2 linked regions of the Danio rerio genome follow. The protein of the gene in region 2 purifies or fractionates together with the protein of the main gene of each other region. This does not show direct contact. Links are inferred from orthologs where the notes say so. Each region holds a gene or a part of one and is shown on either strand. Other genes may lie near its edges.

The links. Proteins that work in one complex are often made in the same cells at the same time.
Region 1: the proteins of rtel1 (region 2) and slx4 purify together in Homo sapiens (affinity purification with mass spectrometry; 3 studies listed by BioGRID, with this or other methods). This does not show direct contact. The link is inferred for Danio rerio from reciprocal best matches to the Homo sapiens genes RTEL1 and SLX4.

Annotation. Positions count from the first base shown.
Region 1 is NC_133197.1:27,520,700-27,524,272, reverse strand, and holds part of slx4 (structure-specific endonuclease subunit SLX4), read right to left. Parts: intron 2,823-3,573; coding exon 2,590-2,822; intron 2,028-2,589; coding exon 1,735-2,027; intron 1-1,734. UniProt on the Homo sapiens protein: Regulatory subunit that interacts with and increases the activity of different structure-specific endonucleases.
Region 2 is NC_133186.1:13,308,592-13,312,164, reverse strand, and holds part of rtel1 (regulator of telomere elongation helicase 1), read right to left. Parts: exon of another isoform or gene 3,001-3,573; intron 2,806-3,000; exon of another isoform or gene 2,356-2,805; coding exon of another isoform or gene 2,334-2,355; coding exon 2,201-2,333; intron 2,112-2,200; coding exon 1,998-2,111; intron 1-1,997. UniProt on the Homo sapiens protein: A probable ATP-dependent DNA helicase implicated in telomere-length regulation, DNA repair and the maintenance of genomic stability. Acts as an anti-recombinase to counteract toxic recombination and limit crossover during meiosis.

The DNA of each region.
Region 1 (3,573 bases), on a different chromosome or scaffold from region 2:
TGTCGACGAAACACTCTGCACCATCAAAGGCACCCGCAGCAGCACCCAAAACACAGAGAAAGACGCTTACCATCACACAAAAAGTTGAACTTCTGGACATGCCAAAGGAAGGTAGAAGTTACACGGCTGTAGGGCACCATTACAGAATAAATAAATGAAGATCAAATGGTTTTGATCTTTGATTTCATTCTATAACACTGGATTCTTTTTTTTATGAAAGTTTGAACTTTGAGTGTTTAAAATAGAGAAAAGTGTGAAAATGTTCATGCCTGTCTGAGAAAAGTGCATAAAGTGTATAGTGAGGAGTTTTTCAGCCTTAAAACATCTAGAATAATTATAAAAAGTAAAGCTGACTACTTCGCAAATTTCGCCTATGGTGGGTTATTTTAGGAACATAACTCCTGCAATTAACGAGGGACCACTGTATTTAAAGTCATGCAGTTAAACTTTAAAAGACATTACCATAAACAAAATGTATATTACATTATATCATTATATTACATTATATCATTATATAATATAATATAATATAATATATTATTATATTATATTATATTATATTATATTATATTATATTATATTCCTGACTAGGGTTGTAACAATATACCGGTATGACGGTTTACCACGATTTGAACGTGCACGATTATCATACCATGAACAATTGCATATCAACGGTTTTAACCCTTAAAGACCGAGACAGCCGCCCGTGGCTAAAAATAAGTATTGCTCTTAAATGTTTAATAACTTTTGATCCGCTGATCCGATTCATACAATTCAAAGATTGGCATGAAGAAGAGAATCCAGTGCAGTGCTTTCCAGTGCTGTATCACATAACATTCGCGGACTTTCAGAGGCTCCGGAATCAGTGCGGTTACGTCATGAAAATTTGACAACGCTGATTTGACAAAGAAACGCTCGTCACTGTGTCTCCGGACAAATCAGACATGATACATTGATGCATTGTCCCTCCTCCATGCCCAGATTGGTTCAAACTCGCTATATCACAACCAATAAGCGTAGGTTTCGCTTTTGTTTGTGGACCAACACTGAGCTTTTTGAACAACACGGAATGAGAGATAAAACGCAAAAAAAAAAAAGTTTTGCATGAAATAATTCTCATACTAAGTACTTTTGCATGCACAGCAGCACAGAAACATGACAAAACAGTGACACAGCAAAGACGAACTGCTGCTCTTGCTGTTTTCAAAAGACGCATGAAGGTGCAGCTGTTTGTCTGCATTGCAGACAACCATATCCAAATCCATATCCACAGACAACCATATCCATGCTGGCACATAAAACCTAAAGATGTTCCATATTGAATCTAGTTTCGTTATGTAACTATTTATAGGATAGTAAATATTTATATCTATTTTTACTGAGGATTTGCACCATATTTATTTGGACTTTGACACATTATTTATTATTTTCTTATTTTTTTATTTGTTCTTTGTAAGCGGTGTTGTTTATAGTAACTAAAATATATATTATTTGGAAAAAGTCAAATTTGCTTCACTGTTCTATTATTTTGTAACATTTGTAACATACCGTATACCGCGAAACCGTCAAACCGTGGTATTGTTTAAGACGATTATCATACCGTAAAAAATTCATACCGTTACAACCCTATTCCTGACATTTGTATATTTTTTAATAAAACCCCATTTTTGCATTAACTACATATTGATTAAACTATATTTACAATTTTTGATCTTTATGAACATTTTTTCTCACCACTGGTGCGACCCATGGCTGTATGAAGCTGCTCAACTCAGACGTGTAGAACTCTGAAACAGAGTTTTGTCGTCCTCTGTGAAGAGCGCTTTTGTCCCAGAGGGGTGCGTGAGGTTGAAGAGGGAGGCTGGAGGGGCTCAGGGTGGGTGTTGGAGGAGAAGGTGGTCTGGAGCAGAGCAGGAGAGATGAAACCCGCTCCTGTAGGCGGTTCAGTGCAATCTGAGGGTCCTGAATGAGGAGCAACGGCGGCTGGACAGGAGACGCTCCCTTCCTTCTCTTTCCACGACCCTTACCTGAATGAAAACAGGAATGATATGCTGTGTTTAATGTACAGTACAAATATGGTTTCAGGAAGCTTGTGTTTTGAGGATCGTTTGCACTTTCAGCCTTCATTCAGTCACCTATTTTTAGGTCCATTTGGGATTATTGCATAAAAATACTTTATGGAAACAACAAGATGCCCATTCATTTTGAAAATGACAAAAATAAATGTACACAACTGAGTCAAGCTATTGTTAGATAAAAAACTTGGAAAAACACTTACTGAAAAAATTCCAGCATGTGTTTCAGAAAAGTCAGAATTTCAGAAATGTGATTTTGTATTAACAGATAATGTGATGACAAAAATAGGTGCGATGGGACAATGTTAATGAAAAAAACAGTGAATCAACCACAATGTAAAACATCTGAATTGCTGTTTTGGTCATTCTAAAATCAAAAATCTTTGGTCATTCTAAAATCTAAAATTCTAAAACATCGAGTTTGCATGTTCTCCCTGTGTTCACGTGGGTTGATGAATGAATGAATGAATGATCACAGGAATTTGTGGAAATTGACATGAAGAGCTGAGTTGACCTGCTCCAGGTTTCCACTTTAGGACAGGAGCTGTGGCTGCAGGAGGGCTGGAGATCTGAGCCAGAATTTCCCTCTGCTCCTCCAGCTCTCGCTTTTTCTCCACCTCCTGCTCCAGCAGAGAGCGGGACAGAGCCAGCGCCATCATGGTGTCCTCATCCAACTTCTGCCCTTTCCTCCTGCTCTTCTTTTTCACAGGCACACCATCCCTCCTTACAGCACCACCCACTTGTTGCCTGAAGAAAGATTGAATTTATAAGTTGGTAAAGTCCAATTTTTATTTTACATATTTAGAAATTGACAAACACCTATATACAGTACTGTGCAAAAGTCCTAAGCCTTTTGACCTAAGACTTTTGCACAATATATAATCAATCCATCTCTTTTAATTAAAAACTAACAGAAAATTTAGGAAATACATAATAAACAACAGCACAACTTTTCCGCTTCCAGCAAAGGTCAATATTTAATGTGGCTGCCAATAGCACAAAGCACGGCTTGAACTGTTTTGTTTTAATTGTCCTGACATTTTCTGACATGTGTTGTGTAATATCAGGCTTCTTTTAGCACTTTCCAGAGTTCTTCTTTACGTTTAGAATGTCTTTATCTTTTCTCTCCAGGTGATCTCATTCAGCCTCTTTAACATTCAGGTCTGGACCCTGTGGAGGCCGTTTCATGACTGTGTTTCATCTGCTGTTTTCTTTCTCCAAATATGAATTATGCTGGAAATGAAAACTATTACTACTGAAGCCTTTTCCAGAAAAAAAGACATAATGGCTTAAAAGCTCTCTGTTCTTTTCAACATTCACAATTCCATCAATTCAGACAATATTGCTAACAACACTGGTAGAAATGCAGCTCACAAAAGGACAAACACCCTCTCTCTCTAACACTCTTTTACATGTCTTAAACAACTTAACCAAAATAATTCAAACTCTAACCTAACCTAAATTCTATCCTAACAAATCATACATCCACTCACTTAAA
Region 2 (3,573 bases):
CCCAGAGATTGTTGTGTACACTATGACTTTATGTAAAATTAACTTTAATGTGTGATAGGAATAAAAAGTGATCATAAACGAATGATTTCTCCACTTAAGTGAATGGCGGCTTGGACCCGGAAACAGTATTACATGCGTCACAAACACGTCATCACTTAACAAGCGGGTAGGGTGCTTTGATGTTTGAGATGAAAACAAGAATAAAAGAATAAAAGTTGATGGTGTGTTATCAGATTGCAAATATGTAATTGTAATTTCTAAATTGTAGACATTTCCTGATTTCAATTAATTAGACATGCTTTTAGACATTCAAACAGTGTCGAAAACATTTTCATTGATTAATTTTCTTTTCAGCTTAGTTCCTCTATTAATTAGAGGTCGCCAACATATTCAGCATATGTGTTACACAGCGGACGTTTTGCTATTTTGATAAACTATAATAGATTTTTTAATAGACCAAAACAAACCCGGTCTAAAGTCCAGTGCAGAGTTGTGCCTCGCTTACACACTGCCTAATACACACGAGATGTAGAGCAATACGCAAATATCTTTACATATGAAAAAGAATTAAAATATTAAGGATATATATATATATATATATATATATATATATATATATATATATATATATATATATATATATATATATATATATATATATATATATATACACACACACACACATATATATATACATACATACATATATTTATATATATATATATATATATATATATATATATATATATATATATATATATATATATATATATATATTTTTTTTTTTTTTTTTTTTTTTTTTTTATATATAAAAACCACTGCATTCATGCCTTCATCTCGGGAGGCTTTTTCAGTTCATTCAATTTGCTTTTGTATAATGTTATTATTATTATTAGCAGTTTTATTTATTATTTCCATATTTATATGGTTTATTAAAAACAAGCTTAGATTTGTCCACCTGCAGGTTTTAGACCATGTGGGGCATAGCATGTGTACTAGGATATAACTCAGATTTTTGACCACACTTTGTTATTATTGTTCATTTATTCGTTTGCTGGAAATTGGAACTGAATTTAGAAATAGTTTTGAAACAAATATTTGGACTTAACAAACTAAATTAATTATTTATAGGCTAACTGATGTCTGTGCGTAAAGGTTTCCCTATCCACGAGAGCGAAAGTAACCGTTAATCATTTATCTCTCATTCTCGTGCTGTACATGCTCTGTTTAACTGTTTTCTTGCTAGTAAAATGCTCAGTTTTTCCACTTACACTTACTTTACATCATTTAAATAGCAAATGTGCTGTGGCGCGATGCAACTGACTCTTAAAGGGAATGGGAGATGAGACTCTGATTGGTTTAATCTCAAAACACACCTATAAATCATTAAGAAAATAAACTCAACCCATTTAGACCATGCGCCACGGCGCAAAGCGGATTTTTCCGTCCTTAAAATAGCATAAATGGATTCTGACATGCCCTGAAAGCGTTTGCGCCCTGCGCTTTGCGCATGGACCGTCAAAATAGAGCCCATAATGTTGGTTTTATGTGACCTGAAACAGAAAGCAGCCTTCCCTCTATACTTAAAGCTAAGATACATAGGAGTTCAATTTTACATTAGGCTATATGTAGATAAAAACATTTATTATTACCCATTTCCTGATTTCAAAATGTATTTTTACAAACTGGATATCTGCAGTATGTGAGTTCAGAACACAAAAAAATCTGAAATTTTAAAATACGCCTATAAAAAAGTCCCGAAAATTTCAGTAATCTTACATTTCAGATGTTTAATATTGAAGTTATGAAATTCAAATTCAAAATAGGACATTAAAATTAATAAATTCTAATTAAGAAATTCAAATTTAGATTGTTTTGGCATATTATTAGCTCCATATGTTTACCGTTATTTTCGATCCATTAATGCATTCTTGCTGAATAACATAAGAACTTTCTTTCAAATGCGTAACCCAGAGCACTTTTAGGAAAACACTGACCTCCTGTCAAAAGCCGTGCTCAGCTGAACTCCATCTGGACCTTTTTCAATGATACTGACGAAGATCTGATCACGCTGGATGACATGAGGGTTCTCCAGGGATACAGGGAAAGGACTGGAAAAAAACGAGCAGAGAATTAGCATCCAGTCCACATGCAACTCATAAAAGCTGAGTGGGGACAGCTGGAGAAGAGGAGCACGGACATTTGCATTTCACAGGTGAAGGATGAGAGCGGCGAGAGGGTTCCGCTGGTCAGAATAATGCAGCGAACTTCCTGACGGAGCAACTCCTGCATGCTGAAGCCCGGAGAAAAACACCAGTAGCTCAGCACGTTCCCTTGAAAACATACACATGCCATTTAAATCTTTTATACAGCTTCGGTATACATGTTTAATGTGCAAAATTTTAAAAATTCGTTATTCCTATGCATTCAAGGAAGGGTTGCATGATATTGGAAAATATGTATATTGGTTTGGAATATGAATAGCTTGAACAGATCTATTTGGAAATAATTCACTCATTTAGACTGATTGGAATGATTTGTAGGAGAGTGAATGATGCATAAAGTATTACAAAGAAATTACAAGCATAGATAAATACAAGAGTAAGGATATAACAGTATTCAGGTTTGGATATGTAATAATCAAATCTAAAATAACAATGTATAGTCTTCATTGTGTATAAAATTGAATTAAATAAATCCAATTGCAATTTCTTGTGCCTGAATACTTAAAAGAGGTGGTCCAGAGTGTATTTTTAAGGCTTGGTTGTGTTTGTAAGATGCAAAGCAATGTGTGCTCATGCTTCACTTGTAGAAATATATATATATATATTAGGGCTGTCAAATGATTAAAAAAATTTACGTAATTAATCACATTTTTTTTCCTAAGTATTTATGATTAATCATGAAACCCGGTGTTATGCTAATAACAAACAAACAAACAAAAATTATTTCCATGTTGGATTCTAAGGGTACTTTCACACTAGCACTTTTGGTCTGCACCCGATTTCGTTTGACGTCATAGTACGGTACGGTTTAGCTAGTGTGAACGTGTCTTCTGAGCTCGGGTGCGCACCCGTGAACCGTACCCGAGTCCGCCTGAAAGAGGTGGTCTGGGGTACGGTTCATGTGAACTCTGGTACGGTTCTGGTACTTTTGATGTGAATGCAATTGTACCAAATCACGGAAGTGAACCACCAACTATACAACAAACTATCGTTTTCATAACGTTTGTTCGTTCGTGTATGTGTGTGTGTCACGTTTCGTACCTTGGTGACACGCGCTGGACTGAGCCAAGGCAAACACAGTGATGCACAGTGATGTCTGCTTGTCTCCTCCAAAAACAGCTTTTTGCAGCAGATGGACGCGAGTCGCTTTCTGTATGTCCCAAACCAAAAGCTTCAGTTAAAGCAGCATGACCGCGATGTGCGGAAGTCTTTCCATTTCAGCGCTTGCTGAACAGACAACGCGCGCAGTACAGCGGACCCGGAGAGCGAGGGATCCCTTCAGACTCATTAACAAGCATGATCGCGTTCACCAAATTTACTTAAACTAAGCGTTCTAAAGTATGTCTGT